2 linked regions of the Lytechinus pictus genome follow. The protein of the gene in region 2 interacts with the protein of the main gene of each other region in a pairwise test. Links are inferred from orthologs where the notes say so. Each region holds a gene or a part of one and is shown on either strand. Other genes may lie near its edges.

Region 1 (9,594 bases), on a different chromosome or scaffold from region 2:
TAGCTCACACATGTACAACATTCTATGAAAAATATTAGAAAGATCATTTCCCTCTATATAAAGGGAACTCAAAAGGAAATAATACAAGCGAAATTAAAAAAATATTCAAAGTCTGGATTTTAATTATTTACTGAATTTTTCAGTTAAAGAATTAGAATGAATTAGATATGAACTATGTCGGTGCTCTAATCATATTATGGATGTTTAAAGAGTACATATGCCAGCTGGTGTTGGCCTCTTGGCCGTAGCTTATTTTAGTTGCACAATCATTCCTCGAAGTTTGCTTCGTATTTAGCTTTATCTGCCATTAACTAACCAGTTGGTCCAGGTTATTTAATATACCTACACCTGGTGCTATGTAAACTTACCTCTAGCAACACTCTATGAGCTTCTTTCAAGAATTCTTCATCACTCTCATAGTTTTCTATCAGTTGAGGAGGTAGGTTACCATTCACATTGAGCTGGAAAATATATTGATAACATATGCTCACTGTAGGCTAACTACATTATGCAAACTTACACAGTGAAAAGAAAGAGGCCATTGATAATACAAATATCAACAACAACAAAGAAAGAAAGAAATTTAAAGAAATTTCACATTAACATTAATTTTTGCCAAAAAAAATGTATTACAATCATAATACACCCAATTCCCAATATTTTCTAGAAGTAGTGAATAACAATATTCTATTTTCATGCAATCAACCTTCATGTGGTTGCTTCTATGAAAGTGCATTGACTCAGGGACTGTTACCATTAATGATTAATTCTTATGTATGTCACATCAGGATATACGTATGTTCTTTAATACAGTATTTGAACTGCAAAAGATCTGTATCCTCTTGTAAATCATTCATATGAGTGGGTTATAAAACATATATACTACATGTATGCACTATTTAAATACATCATCAGGTTTTCATCATTTCATTAAGTATAAAAACGTGAGTATGATACGGTAGGCCTACATCTTTTTCTGGTTGCAGAGAAAATGATAAGTGAAAATATGAAAAAGAAAAACATAATGGATATTGGACATGTTATGAAATAAAACGACTTACGCTGCATGCTGTATCATAAAGGGCAGTCCAGTCTATTCTTGGAATCATTCTAGCGATGAAGTCTGGGTTAAATTCAACTTCCAGCGTCCTTGTATTTTCAGGCTGTAATAGCAAACATGAACATACACTGTATTACAAAGTCAAAGAGAACAGTAATAAGCACTTGCTTCTTGAGAACAGTTGTGCAGTATCAGTCCCTCAGCTCAGATGAAGAACACTCAAAGATTTTCTTTCGCTGAATGCATATTATCACATTTTCATAGGTTTAATTTAGAAATTCAAATTCAATGCAACAACATAGAGGGCATAGCATTCTACAGAAAATTAATTGTACGTCTAAATTACGGTTGGCTCTTACAGTAGAGGCACCGGTCTGAAAATGAGAATCATCCCTAGTAGTACTATCTTCTTTTATTATTATTTCTCCTCACAAGAAATCTAAAAAAAGGTTCATTCACCTGTTAAATGCCAATACCAATCCAGTGGATGGTTCATTAATCATGGGGTATCGTATTACAACTATGGGATGACAGCAATTAAACGGACAAGTCTATTCTAATAAAAAGTTGATTTGAATAAAAGGAGAAAAATCCAACAAGCATAACTCTGAAAATTTTCATAGAAATAGAAAGTTATGTCATTTTAAAGTTTCGCTTAAATTCACAAAACAGTTATATGCACATCCTGGCCTGATCGGTATGCATAAAATGAGAGGACTGACAGCATCACCCACTCACTATATTGTATTTCATTATATGAAATATGAAATATTTTCATTTTCACCTCATTGTCATGTCAAGCAAAGATTTATTCCTCACTGAACATGTGAAAAAACAATCCCACCCGCACCTCTTATTTAGTTACTAACTGCATGTACTGGTCTGTTGATCTACTGCCATGCCATTTGGCATTATCATCATCATGAAATAAAATAAGTCACCAGTCCAGATTCACCGCCATTTGTTTCATCCGTGCTGGTGACATCCTTCCAACAGGGGCGGGCCCTGGGAACAATTTTTCATTCCGCTTTTATATAGTCCAGCGCTTACTTCTACATCGGAACGACATCTCTTAACTTCTAAGCGCTTTACCAATAGTAATACCATGTTTTCAATTACATTCACAGATCTGCAGATAGACCCTATACTATAGTATACCCCGGTCATTTTTTTTCGCGGTAGACTATACGTATATGAATAGGACGCAATCCCTGGCGCTGGCGGCGAGCTCTGTGGAGAGTAAACACACGTTGGTGAATGATATTTACTCTTTACCAGGACTCAGCCTCCTGGCTAGGCCTAACTTTGTTCTTCTAAAAGTTCTAACGTTAGTTCTAACGTAATACTTTACAAAATTAGAAGACGTCTCACTCTCAGTCTCACTCAGTCCAACTCCATGCAGTCCAGGGTGACCAGACGTCCCGTATTTCCCGGGATCGTCCCGTATTTTGCTCCTTTGTCCCGGCGTCCCGACAAATCCTTCACGGGATGCCTATTTGTCCCCGTATTTCAGAATATTGAACAAAATATAGTTAATATATTTAAAAGTGGAGAATTTTCATCAAATAACCAACAGATGACGAAGCAGAGATCGGGGCAGAGATAACAATAAAATCGATAACTGTAAACTTGTGCAAGTTCTGCGGTGATTTTCTTGCTAACTCAACACCATGAATACATTGCAAATGAATGTGTGGCAGGCTACTAGCTCGGCATGGTGGATCGGAGCAGATTCTCAATGGTGCAAACAATCTCACATGATAAACAGTTTTTCCACCAAAATCATCACAAAATCGGCGGGGAATTTTTATTATGATATTATATTACTGATTTGGTGATGTAATCAGAGGAACAAGTTATCAAGTTTTCATAATTATATTGATCTAGTATTGTTTCAGCTCTTGTTTTGAGTCTTGTGATCGATGCGATCTTGTAATGGGATGGGCCTAAGAGAGATTCCTTGTGTGTGATGCATGCTGCGTTGTTTCATCTAATATTTAAATTTGACAATGTTTCACTTTGAAATTTTATTGTTATACCGAGGTTTTCACCTGACTGCTAAGAAAGCACGAATGCCTGTGAGCAAGTAACCAGAGGCCATCGGCTTAAGGTCCTCTCAGAGGGACCTGGTAATGAGGATGAATGCCTTACCAAAGGGCACTAGCGCACCACTTGGGAATCGAACCCGGGTCACCGGAATCCGAAACCCCCGCTCTACTGACTGAGCTATCGCGCCTCCTTCATTTTTTAAACATTTTAGGTTTTTTTTATAAAAAAAAATATATATATAGAAGTTTGAACTATTTCCTCTTTCGTTCTTTTCTTCTTGCCCCTTTTTCATTCCATGAATCTTTATTTCCTGATTTTTAGTCTCTCTCTATCTCTGTTCATTTTTCTGTCTTTCCTTCTTTCTTTTTTAAATTTACTTTTTTTATTTACTTCATTAATTTTCTTTCCTTAAACTTTGCTTTGCTTCCTTCTCCCTTCCTCTCCTTTTTATCTTTGTTCATTCTCTAATCTACTACTACTAGTTCCATTACTTTTTTTTTCATTCTCTCCTCCCTCTGTTTCATCCTTTCTTTCATTCTTTATTTAATTTTTCCCTTCTAATTATTTTCCCTTATTCTTTCTTTCTTTCCCTCCCTTCCTGTTTTTCTTCTTTCTTTGTTTCTTTTTCATTTTCTGAAGGAAACATTTTTCTTTCCTCCATTCTTTCTTTCCGCTTCCTCCTTTTTTCTTACCCTTTTCCTTTCTCTCCTTTATTTTTTAATTCTTTCACACATTTGTTCATCTTCCATTTCTTTCAGTTTTTCTTTTTCTTTTTTCAATTCAAAGAATGACGGAAACCTTTAATCTCTGTTATTCTTTATTTCATCCTTCTTTTATTCTAACTTCCTTTTTTCCTGCATTTTCCCTTTTTTCTTTCTTTCTTCTTTCAATTCATCTCTTTTCTTTCTCTCCTTCATTCTTTCGTTCATCCTCCCTTCCAATTGTTTATTTTTTTTACAACTTACAAGTCTAACACTGTGTCTGTGTACAGTGTAGCCTTCTTTGTTGATCTTCTTTTTATTAAGACCTGGCTCGGCCTCGGTCGATCCGCTTGTGCAGCGTGCTTTGACCTTTGTCGATTCTCCTGTAATCTGTATTTCACTTTGTGAAATCTGGTCACCCTGATGCAGTCTCACTTCTGTCTTTTCTGAAATTTATATTCTTATCTTAAAACTTAGTCTTTATGCCTTTAATACCTTTATACCGCATCTACTGGAAAAATACAGTTGTGTCTGCACTACTATTAACTAACGTTAGGTTCTAACTTTAATGTTAGATCTATTCTAGGCCTACCGTAGACAGCTGGCAGCCGTCTGTTACTCTGTTTCGAGGAGTTTTTTAACATTTTTTTTTTTTTTTAATTTCTCCTCATACACAGACGGCTCGCTAGCGTGCAGCCACCATTAGGGGACTTGCAATGCAAAATCCCCCCGTCGGGGCTCTTCAATTTTTGTCTTTAATGAGTAAAAATTTTGAAAATTCACGCGACCAAAATGCAAATTAATATTCCCTCTTGGCATCAATTGCCAAAAAACGGAGAAAAATCAAGTTAAAAGGAACAAAAACAGTGACTTACCTCGGCTGTCGCGCAAATTCACTTCCTCGTTTTATCCGATCTTAAGTACATAAACATATGGCCATTGAGTCCCCTGTACAGATCGCGCTAGAACTTCGGTCTCTGTATTTGGTGAGTGAAGCCAACGGAGTTCAGCTGAACAACCAACATAACACAGACCGAAGCTTTTGGTCTAGGCCTACCGGTACTTAAAAATAAAGTTAGATCTATTTTAACTGTTTAATCTTATTTAACTGTTTAATCTTCACTTCAGATCTTAGTCTTGACTTAGTATCTTACCTCTATTTTTAAAGGGTATCCATTTTTCACTCCTTTGACATGAGAAGTCAGCATATTATGTGTAAGTAACTTCATTGTCCTAACTACTGTCGATCTCATCTAACGTCAACGACAACGATGCGAAATCTTGTATCTAATGGTAATGCGCGTGTAATTGCGTGCATGCATGCATTACATTTCAATTGACATGGGGGCTGCCATATTTAAACCGTAATGCACGATGGGATACATAAACTAGTCTATACCTCAGACTAGGAAATAGAGAAAAATATCTATTTGATTAGTATCTAATTACTTATTTGTTCATATAGATACATATGTGTGTAATTGTGTATATATATGTATTTTATATGAGTATGAGGCCACATAGACGATGGTCATTGTTCTGTTTGTTTTAGAATAATATATCTCTCTTCTCTGAGTCTGGAATAAAATTATTGGAAATGTTTTTTTGACTGATTTGAGTAGGTATGGGTGTCAACATTTACCCCAAAAAAAGTTAGGAGGAATACGGGTTGGGGAAAGTGCTTTTTTTCAAGGTCAAAGGTCAATGACCTTTTCGTACATACTGTATAATGGTATCTCTGAGATGGAAAGGCGCAGGTTGGTGATAATGGTGTCAAAATGCACAAATTCTTACCAGAATATCAAATAGAATAAAATTAATGACCTAAAATGCACATTCACCTATAAAATTCAAGGTCAAAGCCTTTCAAAAGGTCAATGACCTTTTTTACATTATATACCATACCGTATAATGGTATCTCTGAGATGATAAGGTACATGCTGGTGATCATGGTGTCAAAATGTACAGATTCTTACAAGAAGATCAAATGAAATAAACTTAAGTACCTAGAATGCACATTCACCAATAAAATTCAAGGTCAAAGCTTTTCAAAGGTCAATGACCTATTTACATTATATACCATACTGTATAATGGTATCCCTGAGATGAAAAAGCACAGGTTGGTGATCATGGTGTCAAAATGCACAGATTCTTACCAGAAGATCAAATGGAATAAAATTAAGTACCTAGAATGCACATTCACGCATAAAATTTAAGGCCAAAGGTCAATGACCTTTTATACTACATATACCATATTATATAATTGTATCTCTAAGATAAAACGGTGCGGGTTGGTGTTCTTGGTGTCAAAACACGCATATTCTTACAGGAAGATAAAATAAAATTAAGCATAGAGAATGCACATTCACCCATAAAATTCAAGGACAAAGGTCAATGTCCTTTTTAACATTAGATGATAATAATGGTATCTCTGAGATAAAACACCGCAGGTTGGTGATCTTGGTGCCAAAATCCAAAGACTTGTACAAGAAGATTAAACAACACTAAAATAAGTATAAAGAATAAACTTTCACCCTTGAAATCCTAGATCAGAAGAAATATATAATCTATATGATGTAAAAATAACCCAAAACAATATCTTTTGTGTTCATATTTTATATCTGAATAATATGTAAATAACCATGGCTAATTTGTAATGAAAACATGGAGGTTTCATAATTTCGGTCTGAAATAATGAAGGCCATGGAGAATGTATTTTGGGGTCAGAGGTCAATGAGCCCTTTCCAAAATATCAGTGGAAATGAAGTTTAAAAAGTTGATAACCAAATAACACTTTTTCATATACTGCGATGCATTGCCAAAAGCACTGAAAAAATACATGAAATCAAGTATATAATTTGAAATGATTTTTATCTTAAGTAGCAGCATTTAATGCATCATTATATCTAAATCAAGGTTGTCGTGTCTTTTCTCTCCAGCGATAGGCCACTCATCTCAATGCTATAATAAATACTATAAACTATTAGCTTAATCTTCTGAAAATGGATAGGACAGGTCTAACTCTCATGTCACAGCAAGCATCATCTGAGAGCATTTCCAAACAGCAGAGGGATGATGATGAAATGAAGGCCATCATTAGAGCTGCAGCTTCTGTCATATACATGTAGTAAATTATATATATATCAACTTCAACAAAGGTAAATTCCCGTATTATTAGTACCTTTCATCAGTTCATTGCGAGCTGCCAGAATCTCTTGTGATGCTAATGCTGCAAGACAAACCTTCATATCTGCTCTCTGCCGTACGTCACCCATGATGCTATTTCTACTAGGTATCAGTTTGTACAAGGATCATGTTTTTGGTCCAGAAAACTGATTGTTAGCATGCACAAATTAGGCATATAACAATGCCATTCAAAAGGAGATAATAGCTTACAAGTACACATCCATCGACCTAACAAAACTCATAGCACCACTTCCAGTTCTTGAGAATCAAGCTGTGCAATTATCAGTAATAATATAGATCCTGGTCTGATATCCCTTGACAGAACGTTAGGCTTTCATTGAATGGGCCATATCAAAGTCTTGAAAATGTCAGAAGGTTTTCAAGAGTCCAATTACTCTTTGCTGAAGTTGAGACACTTAACTTCATCTATGACAAAAAAAGCTGCAGCTCTAATGATTGCCTTATTTTAATTCTTCGTCATTGTCCCTGGCTATATGCAAATGTTCTCGGATGATGCTTGCCATGAGACTTAGGCCTATCCTTTCCATTTACAGATTAAGTTATAGTGTTATAGTATTGATTGTAGCATTTGAGGTTAGTGACCTATTGCTACAGAGAAATTAGTACCTTGATTTAGATTTATAAAATGCATATCTAAATGCTGCTACTTTAGGTAACTTCACCATTGTCACCATTTCAAATTATATCACACATGATTTTTTTTAAACACTTTTGTCAATGCATTACAGTATATTATAAGAAAAAGTGCTATTTGATCCAATTTGTACCTCGAACTTGTATTTTGACATCATCATTGGTCAAGGATTCAACTATTAAATTTGTGTTCTTTTTCCACGCAGGTCAGTCTTTTTCCCATCAGAATCACTATACCTACATGCCACAATCACGTTATATCGACCTATTTACTTAAATTCCCTGACGCTATTGACATAGTTGATTGACCTTTAACTCCTAAATATATTTTCCATGGCCATTTTTTATCCTTATTTCTTTCAGAGTGAAATTATTAGACTTCCAAGTGTTCATTACAAATAGTTATCTTTCTTTCTATTATTCACAAATAAAATGTGAATATAATGGATTAATTTCTTTTTGGGGGGAATCATGCATGGATATATAAATATTTATCAACTTTTGACCTTTGACTTTGGATATTGGATTATTCTGTATGATTATTTTGAGTCTTTTTTATCTTCTTGCAAAAATTGAATTGACATCAAAATCACCAACATGCAGCGTTTTATCTCAGAGATACCTTTAGACGATATATAGCCTATGTAAAAAGGTCACTGACCTTTGACCTTGAACTTTATGGGTTAGTATGCATTCTAGGTGATTAACTTTATCTTATTTGATCTTCCTGTAAGAATCTGGGAATTTTGATCCAACGATCACCAACCTGTGCCGTTTCATCTCAGAGATACTATTATACAGTATGATACATAATGTAAAAAAGGTCATTGACCTTTGAAAGGCTTTTACCTTGAATTTTATAGTTTAATGTGCATTCTGGGTACTTAATTCTATTTTATTTGATCTTCCTGTAAGAACCTCTGCATTTTGACACCAAGATCACCAACCTGCACCTTTTCATCTCAGAGATACCATTATACCGTATATGGTATACAATGTAAAAAAAAGTAATTGAGCTTTGAAAGCTTTGACCTTGAATTTCATTCATTCGGTGAATGAGCATTGTAGGTACTTGATTTGATTTCATTTGATCTTCTTGTAAGAATCTGTGCATTTTGAAACCAAGATCACCAACCTGCGCCTTTTCATCTGAGAGATAGCATTATACCGTATATGGTATATGATGTAGAAAAAAGGTCATTGACCTTTGAAAGGCTTTGACCTTGAATTTTATTGTTTAATGTGCATTCTGGGTAATTAATTTGATTTTATTTGATCTTCCTGTAAGAACCTCTGCATTTTGACACCTAGATCACCAACCTGAAACCTTTTCATCTCAGAGATACCATTATACCGTATATGGTATATAATGTAATAAAGGTCATTGAACTTTGAAAGGCTTTGACCTTGAATTTCATGGGTGAATGAGCATTGTAGGTACTTGATTTGATTTTATTTGATCTTCTTGTAAGAATCTGTGCATTTTGACACCATGATCACCAACCTGTAATATTTTATCTGGGAGCTACCATGATACAGTATATTTAAAAAGGTCATTGACCTTTGACCTTGAAAAAAAGCACTTTCCCCAACCCGTATTCCTCCTAACTTTTTTTGGGTAAATGTTGACACCCATACCTACTCAAATCAGTCAAAAAACCATTTCCAATAATTTTATTCCAGTTGGTTACTAATTACGGGATACTAGTCTAGGTTATATTCTTTGTATTCAGTAGAGCTTATTATCCCCGGTTATTATCCATTTTGAAAAAAAAGAAGAAGAGAAAAAAAAGAAAGACAAAGGAAAGTAAGAGAAAATGAAAGGGAAAAGAAAGGAAAAGGAAAGGAAGGAGGAGAAAAAAAAGAAAAAAAAGAAGAATGGAAAGAAAAGGAGAAGAAATTAAAGGAAAAGGAATAAAGATGAAGAAATGGAAGAAAGGGAAA
Region 2 (11,967 bases):
CACTATATCATTTTGGATCTTGATTCGGTACAATTTCATGAACTGAACTTTGTGAAATCATGAAATAAATCTAAGCTGAAAAAACGGTCACAGTATAGATTGCCAACGCAGATAAGCTCCTTTGGGACAGTGTATTTATACAGTAATTATTGCTTTGAAAAATACCCAACATTTTGCTTCAATCCCATGCTTATTTGCTAATTTTTCAGCACAATTTTATTATTTATAGTGCAAGCAGACACGTGCGTGAATGGTCATTTTATAGGATTCTGAACGAACTCATTTGAAATTGTTACTACAACTGACACATTGGTGAAATATGCATTATGAAACACACAAATTGAAAATTGAGAAAGTACATGCAGAAAGTGCAAACCTTGGCTAGTTCAGGGGAAATCTGCGCAGCATCTTTGGACAATGTCTGCTCCTTCTCCTCACTCTCTGGTTCTGGCTTTGTACGGAGATAGTTTGGAACTACGTCATGGTTGAAAGATGGCACACGTCCCTCTGTTACTTTCTACGAAGGATTGAAAAATTAACAAATAAATGAAACAAAGCATGTAAAGAGACAATCCAATTTCTGCATTAGAAAGTAACTATTGCCAAAGTAAAGAGGTGGTATTTCTATAGAAAGTACTATATCGAGACTTGGTCTACTATGTTACAAATTGCCTGTTGTCATTAGAGACATTAAATCTGCAAGCAAACTTGCAAAAAAGGGCAAGAATAGAATAAGAAAAAAAAATGAAGGAAACTTAAAAATAGCTACCCTGTCATTAGACAGGCCTGTACAAAAAAAATTGTTACTTGCCCTGTCGGGCAAGTGATGAAAAAGTTTCTTGCCCGATAGAAAAAACTACATGCCCAATTTGTTTTACATTTTTTTATTATGACGGCACTACTCTTATTTTTAAAGGTCATACAAAATAACAATTGAGAATCATGTACAGTATAAAAGAGCACACATTTAAAAGTTTATTTTCAGCAACATAGCCTGAGTCATTAAGTTTATTTTGATTTTTTTTTCGCCATTTATAAATGGGCGTATTCAGCTCTTTATTGACACTGAAAAAGATCGTTTTATGATGTAAAAAAAAAAATTTTCAAAAGTGGAGTGGCTAAAATTTCACATTTTGCATCTTTAAATCCATGAAATGGTCATTTATTTCCCATATTTCCTTGAATTTTTTTAATAAATTAGTTGGAAACTATTAAGAAAATTAAGAATATTCACCTGTCTCTGTCTTTTCTTCATCATTTTATGATGTTACACTGGATCAATATTTGTTTAATTCTAGTCCCGCATGTAGACTTTCATGGGGTTTTTTTTAAACAGTTTTGATCGTTTTACACTTGGTCAACACCATAAAAGTCTACATGTGGGACCACAATAATAAAGAACATTTACCGAGTGTAACATCATAATAAATCAGAATCAAGAAAGAGAGTCAAATAGGGCTGAATATTCTTCATTTTTTTCAGTAGTTTCCAACTAAATCAAAACAATTTCAAGGTAAAATGGAAAATAGATGGCCATTTCATGGATTTTTGCAAAATGTGAAATTTTAGCCACTTTTGGTGTTTTTTTGTTGTTTGTTTGCATCGGCAAATTGCGCAAGATAGTAGCGCATGCGCAGTCATTGCACACATAGAACGCAAGATGCAATGGCATGGTTTTTCAAACGAGGTACCTGGCGATAAATTATTGGTAATTGGCGCTGATTTTACATCAGTTTCCACTGTTTTTTATTACTGGTTTGACATAATATGAGTGAGAGATAGTTGTGATTATCCAAAAGATATTGAAATTTAAAGGGTCTACTGGTATTTTATTTCCAAAACAACCACTTGTCCGATCGGGCAATTGACTTTGAGAAATGCTTGCCCGCACGTCCTTTTCACTTGCCCCGGGCAAGCGGGTTTGTCGCGCCCTGCATTAGACTTAGTATCAATCTCCACTCCTTGTGGCGTATTCCACCAATGAAGGTAAATGTTTGTGAAAGCAAATGCATACCTCTAGTTCTTCATCTCTATCTTGTGATAGTTTGAGTGGGAGAATGATCAGGTTCTTCAGTGCTGGAGTCTTATCACTCTTGAGATGCCGATGTAATGTGTTAATCTGACCTGTAATTTGAAATAAGATATTAATTGCTTTATTTATTATGCTACCATCTTAAAACCAAACAGAATATTACAAACATGATATTCCAAAATATAACACAAAGCAAAAAATTATTACATTCATATTATACATTGGCCTGCAACCAAAGTTTTCAATAACTTTGCTAGAGTAATATCATCTTTAATATGAACGGAAATTATAGTAATTTGACCAATGAAAAAAATACATACCTGATAATAGAGCAAAACTGTTGAGAACAGATGGCCTGCAAAGACAGATAGATTAATAGAAGATTTAGACTATTTTCCCTACAATTTTTCGGAGAAAATACTGTATCTACAATGCGGTCATACCAATTAAAATAGACAGGAAAACTTTGAGATTCCATTTTGGATATTCATGTCTTTAAATTGAACAAAGTCATGCATTAATTTACTTTTTTTTTTTGATTCAATATATTGGTTTAAAATTGAAATACCGGTACTTAATTTATTATACATGTGGTACAAACGGAGCATTTTATTAGCACATTAGCTATACTTGGTTGATTTATTTAATTATTTTCTTTTAAGCCATTATTTTCTTTTAATAAAATCAACATATTGTAAGGGTGCAAACTGTAGATTAAGAAAAACAAAGTTGTGGCTGAGAGCTTTTAGCTGTGAAAATATTATATACCCATTTTTTTTTCAATTTCTTTTGGTTGTTTGTTTTCTTTTTTTTTCATTAGTATTGTCATAATGCTGTCGTGTTAACTTACCAACTGAGAGTTTCATGATGATGTTCAAGTTTCATGAGAAGGTCTGTTAGGGCCTTCTTCAAATCGTTGACTCTGCTCGAGATGTAATCCAAAGAATTGTCCAAAACTTTGTCTTGATTCTAAAATTAAAAAAGAAAAAAATGACGGACGCGTCCGTAACGTTGGGGAAGAACAATAGGAAACAAGATGGCGGCGTAAACATCGGGCAAGTCTCTTCCGTCTTTTTATAATATTTTTCTCATTTTTTGGATGAATTCTTGTTTAAAAATAAAATTGATAGCGTAGAAATGTTGGAAATGAAGTTGTATCCCATGCGCATGATTTAGGGCTAGATCTTTTAGAAGTAGAAATCTCAGGGGCGAAAGTTTCAGGTTTTTGGCCGGTACGTGCAGATGAATGGAAAGGAATTCCTGGCTTCATGGAGAGTAAGTATACGTTAGTAAATTATTTTTACTCTCTAGAAGCCTCCTGCCCTGGCTAGGCGCATGAAGGTTGATAGATAAATAAAATTCACCTCTACAAACCGATTTCACCTTTTAACTATGGATTTCCTAGGGAAATCCATCCGGGTGTGTAGGTCTTACTGCAGCGTCTATGGAAAGAGTGTCAAGGCTCCATAATGAAGAAGTATATGTCAAAATATTTAAAAAACATCATCATGGAGTCCTCAACTTCAAGGCTAGGCCTACTATATATCCGCATACCAGGGGCCCGTTTCTCAACACCGTCATAAGTCTAACTTCTTGACTAAATCGGAGATAGTGAGCTACTTGTCCGCTAACCGTTTCACGAAGCCCTCTTTACCAAGATCGGGTACAACAACCTCACTAAATATTTATGACACCTCCGAACCTGTCATAACTTCTTTCTTAATGACGTAGTGGCATCACGTGGGTAGACTATGACATGCAAAAGCGCATAGAAATTTTAAAATCATAATCTTACGTAATCATCATAGAGGTTGAAGTTACATCACAAAACAAGTGGGTTAATGCATTCAATGATAATTGTAATACAAAGAAACTATAAAAACTATTGGTAAAACGCCACAAAACCATTCATTTTGAAATAGTAAAATGATTTAATCGATAAATATTCTACCACGTCAGGCCATCCATAACTGAACTCGTATTTGTTGTTTTCAGACCCCTATTAACAGTTGGATAAATTCTATCTCTAATTTATGCATATAATTTGTCAAATATCGTATGTTCCGGTATGATGGTATTAATGGTTAAAAATGTTTTGTTGAACTATATTTTGATGACGTTCGGAATCGTAAAAGACCGCATAATTATCATCATTTTACAAAGAAAACCGTTATGGTTTACTTTCGTAAACTATTAAAATTGGATATCCCGGGGGTACCCAATCTCAACGTCCACAAGTGATTTTTTAGTCATGAAATGAATTATTCATAATTTCATTTTCTCTGCAATTGAATGCTCAAGTCTTCATGGTCTAAGTATGTATGATGCATAATTCACCTGTGCTATTATTTTGAAAATATTTATTTCCCAATTTATCACAATATTTGCAATTTTGTCATAATTTTTCTTTTTGAATATTAATGCTATTTTGTGACTAAGGCTACGTCTCGTCTGCTCTTTCTACCGATAGTATCGATATCAAGGTATTCTAGTTAGGAAACTTTTCGAGAAACAGATTTAGTAAGATTGGAACTAACTCCGTGGTTGGTGGATAAAGATATGACTAACTTGTCCATGTGTTGAGAAACGGGCCCCAGAGTATACTAATTACTTAGTATTGTAAATTTGGACTCAAAAAGTTTCGCAAGACTCGAGGGAAAATATTCTTGGAATGACGTGGCGCAATTTTCAAACGTAATATATAATTTAGACTAACGTTAGATACCACAAAAAAATTTGAGGCATCAGTCATGTCAGTCATGCCATCACATTTTGGCATTTTTTGCGGTAGAAAAATTTGATATTTTATTACCCATAATTCCTCAACGGTTGGACGAATTTTCTTTTTTTTTCATTTCTAATGCAAAGACCTTTCATTTGATGTATCATTCGCCAATATTAATTATTATCTTAATTTGGGGGTAACCGTATAGGTTACTTGAACTTTGAAGTTCAACTTACTTACTTGCAGTTGCACTTACAGTCAGATTTGGAGACGCAAATTTAAACGAAAGGGACTGGAATTAAGTTTTAGGGAAAATTAGACTTCATTATGGGACGTGTGCCTCCTAAATTCCATAAAATAAAAATATATTCTATTAATTCCGACTTTACCTGCATTTTGAAGAAAATGATATCGCGACACCACTTCAAAGAAGCCTCTTTTTGAGGCAGTTTATCAGGGCTATTTTCCTTTTCTTCAAGCGTCAGATGACAGTCAACAAACGCAGAGGGCGTCCACACTGATCTCGTTTAAAGCTATGCCCCCCCCCCCCCCCCCCCCCCTGTACGCCAGTGATTAACGTAGGAATTGAAGGGTCCATACAGGCAGGGCCGTAGCCAGAAGCATTTTGTTGGGGGGGGGTGTACCAGCTAAATTTGCCAACTACATTTGGCGTGACAGCGCCAACGTGAGCACAGGGCAGATGGGGGATGTGCCCCCCCCCCCCACAATAATCACATGCTAAAAGATTTTGAATTTTTAGAATTGAATTAGTGGCATTTGGTGAATACTTTAAGGTAAATTATACAAAAATATACAAAGATATTTGCACTGTGAAAATAAACATTTTGGATCAAAATAGAAAGGCTATAGTGTGCCGATGTTGCTAACTTGCAGTATAATGCCCCATATGCATTAATAATATGAAAATCAAAGATTTGTTAATTTTTAATTGACCTTCTGTGCAAGATGTCTCAACTGAAATTTCAAGAGTGCTAAGTACTGCTAACAGTGGCGTACCGTGGGTCACGGCATGGGGGGGGCACCAGCAAAAATTTTGAGTCATTAAGTGGGCGCGCGAAGCGTGCTCAATTGCCAGGTATACTGACCTAATAGAGACATTTTAAAACTGTGCCATTAAACGGATATGTATCTTAGTGATCAAATAATGCGAGCGCGAAGCGCGAGCTGAAAATGTTTGATATTCAGTCCTAAAAGGGACATAAGCAAAGTTTTGTAATCATGATACGTACCTGTCTCACAAAACAAACAATGCGAGCGCGAAGCGCGGGCTGAAATTTTTTGTTTAACTTAACCCTAAAAAGAGACATTTTAAGGACTATCTTTTGGAATTTATGAAGTGCGTACGTATCTCATCATAGTCATCTAATGAAAGCGCCAAGCGCTTGCTGATTTTGTTAGAATTACACTGGTACATGAAGCACTTTTTGTGGTCATTGTAATCATTAACATGATACGTATTTCACTAATGAAATATTGCGGGCGAGAAGCGCGAGCTGACAATTTTTTCAATTTGGACCTTCTATGGCTTGTTTGTAGGAATTTACTATTTCACTAATTAAGTGATGCGAACGCGAAGCGCGAGCTGAAAATTTGTTATAATTAGATCAGAAAAGGGAACATTTTAAGGACTGTCTTTAGGAATTTGTGCACTGCAAAAACGCCAGTGTTGATTTAATACCAGCCCGGTATCTAAATCGGTCCACACCAATGCGAACGTAAGCACAGACTGGAAATGTTTTATTAAGGCCTTAATAGGGGGCAATCACCTTAAGTATATAGTCATGAAAAAAGCAGATGTCACTTCATAAAACAATAATAACTTGAAGTGCGAGGAGATAATTTGGTGCATAATCTTTATGGACTTAAAATACAACAGGACTATATATCTCATTAGTCAGACAATGCGAGCACCAGGAATGATGCAACCCCAACCTGCCCCCAATCCCACCCATCCCCACCCCAAGCACATTCTGACACCATAAATTAAAAAAAATTCTTCGGCGACATAATTTGTAAATATAACTTAGAACATTTTTGTGTTTTTTGCCAACTGCAAACTTGTAGACAAGTCTACAAGTTGTAGACTTGTCTTCATGAATTTGCCAACTGCAGAGTTACCAGTTTTTTAGTGTTGTGTTCTGTTCTTTTCAGATCTGAAACGGGGCAGTACTTGTACATCACTTTGCTGACTGGTAGAGCGCACTGGCGTAAATCCGTGTTGATGGGTGGGGGGGGGGGATGACTGAAATATTTTGGCATTTTTTTTGCAATCATGTTTTTAGATATGCAAGGAATTGCCATTGATATGTCCACAGTGGCGTACCGTGATCACGGCATGGGGGGGGGGCACCAGCAAAAATTTTGAATCACTGAGTGAGTGCGCTATAGTGAGCGCGCTCAGTTACCAGTTATACTGCCCTAATAGAGACATTTTAAGGACGATGTCATTAAACTGATATGTATCTCACTGATCAAATAATGCGAGCGCGAAGCGCGAGCTGAAATTTTTTTCATATTCTCTCCTAAAAAGGGACATTATAATCAAATTTGTGTAATCATGATAGGTACCTGTCTCGCTAAACAATGCGAGCGCGAAGCGCGAGCTGAAAATTTAGATAATTCAGACCGGAAGTGGGGCATTCTAAGGTTTTTTTTTTAAGAAATAACTAGGACCATACGTATTTCATTAACCAAATGATGCGAGCGCGAAGCGCGAGCTGAAAATTTTTGATATTCAGATCAGAAGGGACATTTTAAGGACTGATTTTAGGAATTTATGAAAAGTAGACATATCTCACCAATCCACTAATGCGAACGTAATCACGGACAGGAAATGTTTCATATATACGAAGACCTTTACATGGGGCAATCACTTTTTTAGTCGTGAAAAAGAAGCATATGTCACTACATAAAACAATGATAACTCAAGTGCTAGGAAATACATTTGGTTTATATTGACTTGAAAACGGGATGTTTTAGTACAACAGGATTATATATCACGTTAAACAGACAATGCGAGCACCAGGAACAATGAAGACTTAGGCCCTGGGCAAATTATGTTTCATAAAGTTATGATAAATATGTTTCTTATGTAATGTAACATAACATAATTATAATATAATATAACATTATAATGAATAATATTTTCTTCTTTCCCAGTACGTTTCTCTTCCTTTCTCCCTCTTTTCTCCTTTCCCCTTTCCCCGTTTTTTTTTTTTGGTCAGCCGATGGGGGGGGGGTGTGCCCCCCATGCCCCCCGTAGTTACGCCACTGTATGTCCATATGGCAAATACCCCTCCAATATTATTATCTTTTTTACCCCATGATGGTTTAATGGTTTTATTAGAGATTACATTCAAAAATTTTTGACATTCCATCTTAATCCCTTCCCAAAGACCCCAACATTGATGAATTGGAAGAAATGGGGGTTTCTCTTCAATGTTATAATAAGGAAATAAGTATTTCGTTTGGAAATGGTGAACTGGCTCTTTATTTGCATTTTATGATTCAATAATATTGTTTTATTTGTTAAGCGGTATTTTAGGAAGAATTTTCACCAATAAAACAATTATCTCTTGTGATTTTTTTTTCATTACTTTCTTAAAAAGTGGGGGGGGGGGATGTTTGTACAGGCCATCCCCCCCTCCTCGAAAAGTGGGGGGATATATCCCCCCATCCCCCCCCCCCCCCGGATTTACGCCAGTGGTAGAGCGTATAGTGTTCTGCCACTTTAACAGGCCCACTTTATAATTTGCCAACTATACTTTGGCTTTGATTATTCAACTTAAACCTTGGAAATTCATCCCAACCCATATTTATTTACCTAGTCTTGCCTCTAATTTTACAAAACTAATGTGTTTGTTAAATCGTCAATAATTGTGGTATAATTTGCAAACTCACAAGCTTGTTTATATTGGGGGAGGACCGGGGGCTTACTTTGTGTGTTATTATAGCTCCAAATAATTTGTCCTTTGTATTTTGCTGACTAGTAGGGCTCTAAGCCTGGCTACATGGACTTGGATTTGCCAACTGGTTGTCTTTACTCTAAAAGTCGTAACCTTCTTCGAAGTTAGTACCCCTATTTTTCTTTCCTTTTTTTCTTTCTTTCTTTCTTTCTTTCTTTCTTTCTTTCTTTCTTGCTTTCTTTCTTTCTTTCTTTCTTTCTTTCTTTCTTGCTTTCTTTCTTTCTTTCTTTCTTTCTTTCTTTCTTTCGTTCTTTCGTTCTTTCTTTCTTTCTTTCTTTCTTTCTTTCTTTCTTTCTTTCTTTCTTTCTTTCTTTCTTTCTTTCTTTCTTTCTTTCTTTCTTTCTTTCTTTCTTTCTTTCTTTCTTTCTTTCTTTCTTTCTTTCTTTCTTTCTTTCTTTCTTTCTTTCTTTCGTTCTTTCGTTCGTTCTTTCTTTCTTTCTTTCTTTCTTTCTTTCTTTCTTTCTTTCTTTCTTTCTTTCTTTCTTTCTTTCTTTCTTTCTTTCTTTCTTTCTTTCTTTCTTTCTTTCTTTCTTTCTTTCTTTCTTTCTTTCTTTCGTTTCTTTCTTTCTTTCTTTCTTTCTTTCTTTCTTTCTTTCTTTCTTTCTTTCTTTCTTTCTTTCTTTCTCTCCCCCTCTCTCCTTCTTTCTTTTTTCTCTTCCTTTCTTTCCCTCTTTCTTTTTCTCCCCTATCCTCCATTTTGCCAACTGGTACATGATTTTGCCGACTGCCATGAATGTTGGGGGGGTGTCACACCCCCCCCCCCCCCATCAGCGGCGTAACAGGGGTCGGTGGCCAGGGGGGGCAAGAGCCAAAAATTTCCCGGTCATATCATGGAACAGGCAATGGCGTCATAAGGCAAAACATTTGAGGGGGCGATATGGCGTATCGCTCAAATATATATATATAAGCGAGCGAAGCGAGCGAGCAAATCTTTTTGACATTTTTATTGCAAAAATCCAATTTTGTGATAGATTTTGACATAATGTTAAAAACATGATATCATATTTCACCCTCCTCTCTTTCCTTTTTTCTCTCTTTTTTTGTACGCCACGGTGAACAGGATTTGTGTTATGATTGTCAGCATCAGGGCGAAGCTCTATATGCTCGAGGGGGCCGAGTATGGCGCTTTTGGCAAGAAGTAGCTTAATATAGGTCCCGAGCGAGCGAAGCGAGCGAGATAAAAAAAAAAAAACCTTTTCATGAGAATCTAACATGAAGATAGATTTTAACGTGATATTCAGAAAAATATAATACACTTTCCTTTCTTTCCTCTTTTTTTTGTTTGGTTGTAAAACTTTTGGGGGCCATGGTCCAACTCATCCATATAACAGTGCTTTATGGGTGGGGTCCAGGGCAGAGCCCCAGAAAAAAAAATGGCCTGTTAAAATGAAATTCTAATTATGTGATAGATTTTTACATCATTATAGCAAATATCATGTCATATATTTTTTTTCATTCATCTCATTTCGCTGCCTCCTTTATTTTCTTTTATTTCCCCTTGGCTGTGGAACCACCCCCTGGTACGCCAGTGCTTCAACGTAAAGCTTAATGCAGGTCCATATAGGGGCCCGTTATAGAACCCATAAAAGGTTACAGATGAAGAGCCTCCACTGCACGGGGTCTTGACTCTAGGACAGAGCCTTTGGAGATTTAGCAAGTTTATGATAGACTTTCGTACATTATGCTATATACCATCCATTTTTCTTCCCGCTCGTTATAGTGTATAGTGTACGTTATTTTTTCCCTATTCTTTATTTTCCAATTTAGATTTGGCTAATTCCATTCTGCCTTTTTTTCCCGCTTTTGTTTGCCTTTTTGTCATCTTTAATTTATTTTCCTGTCTTACTAATCATGCTAATGTATTATATCGGGGCGAATTGTTCTTTCTCACTTGTTCTTTTTCCTTCCTTTTCCCGTTATCTTTCCGTTTTCCCTTTTTTTATGTTTTTCTTATTTTTCTTTTCCCTTTTCCTTTTCCTTTCCCCTTCCCTTTCCTTCCCCTTTCCCTTTTTCTCTTTTCTTTCCTTTCCCTTTCCCTTTCTTCCTCCCTTTTTTTTCTTTTTCCCGTTTTTTTTTTATTTTCCCGGTGAGCTCCGCCAGGGGGGGCAGCTTGCCCCCCCCCCTGCCCCCCCGCCTGTTACGCCACTGCCCCCCATACCCCCCCCCCCCCCTCTAGCTATGGCCCTGCATACAGGGGGCGTTATAGAGCCCTTTGAAGGTTACAGATGAAGCTGAGTGGGGTCTGAGGCAAAGCCCCAAGTAGCTTTGGAGATTTAGCCAATTTAAGTTATGATTGCGACCGTTATTGCATAAAATTTAGCAAGCATAATTACATCACAATTTTGCATACATGCAGTCCACGGTCCACCTTTCTTCATTTTCAATCCTCGGCAGCCCGGTCGTGTTATTAAGTTCCCCTTTAAGTTCTTCTTTCTTTTTATTTCTTGTCCCTTATAGCTTTTGGCTCATTCCATTCTATCTCCTTTTCCCGCTTTTGTTTGCAATTTTGTCATCTTTTAATTCATTTCCCTTTCTTAATCATGCTAAATAGTAGAGCTATTTCGGAATGGTTTAATTCTTTCTCACATATTCTTCTTTCGTTCCTTTTTCCTCTTTCCTTCCGTTTTCAATTTTTAATGTTTTTTCCTCAGTTATCATTTCACTATTTAATTATATTTCCCTTTCCTTTTTCATCCTTTCCTCTTTTCTATCGCTCGCTCTTGTTATTCTGCCTATATTTTCCTCCTTATCCTTCATCTCTTGTGTATTCATATATTTAATCTAATCCTTATTGTACACGATCTGGTACTTTTTTTGCATAATTTGTATGTCTCATCCTTTTTCTCATATTGATTCTTGGACTTTGTATTTTTTTTTTTAGTTCTGTGATTCTTGTAATTGACGTTAATGTCATATTGAACACATTTTGTCTTGTGATAATTTTGTTTATCTTATGTTATGTACCATATTTGTTGCTTTATTGTATCATGGTTTTGTTGTTATATTCCACACTATATGCTTATCCTCGGTATCGATCTTTTTATTATATTGTACAAGCTTTTTGTAATTCGGCTATGTACTGCGATGCAAGTTTTTATCTAAAAAAAACATTTTGAATTATATCCCTTTCCCTTTCTTTCTCCCTCCCATTTTTCTTTTCCCGTTGAAATCGGCCAGGGGGGCAGCCTGCCCCCCCCCCCCCCGCCTGTTACGCCACTGTGCCC

What was found.
Region 1: the proteins of mediator of RNA polymerase II transcription subunit 8-like (region 2) and multifunctional methyltransferase subunit TRM112-like protein interact in binary tests that used the Drosophila melanogaster proteins (3 or more experiments, as listed by UniProt). The link is inferred for Lytechinus pictus from reciprocal best matches to the Drosophila melanogaster genes MED8 and Trmt112.

The regions. Positions count from the first base shown.
Region 1 is NC_087251.1:25,024,318-25,033,911, forward strand, and holds the start of multifunctional methyltransferase subunit TRM112-like protein, read right to left. Parts: upstream 5,208-9,594; 5' UTR 5,064-5,207; coding exon 4,965-5,063; intron 1,164-4,964; coding exon 1,062-1,163; intron 462-1,061; coding exon 369-461; intron 1-368.
Region 2 is NC_087255.1:17,120,132-17,132,098, reverse strand, and holds the start of mediator of RNA polymerase II transcription subunit 8-like, read right to left. Parts: upstream 5,271-11,967; 5' UTR 5,153-5,270; coding exon 5,147-5,152; intron 3,002-5,146; coding exon 2,883-3,001; intron 2,388-2,882; coding exon 2,353-2,387; intron 2,125-2,352; coding exon 2,015-2,124; intron 518-2,014; coding exon 377-517; intron 1-376. UniProt on the Drosophila melanogaster protein: Component of the Mediator complex, a coactivator involved in the regulated transcription of nearly all RNA polymerase II-dependent genes.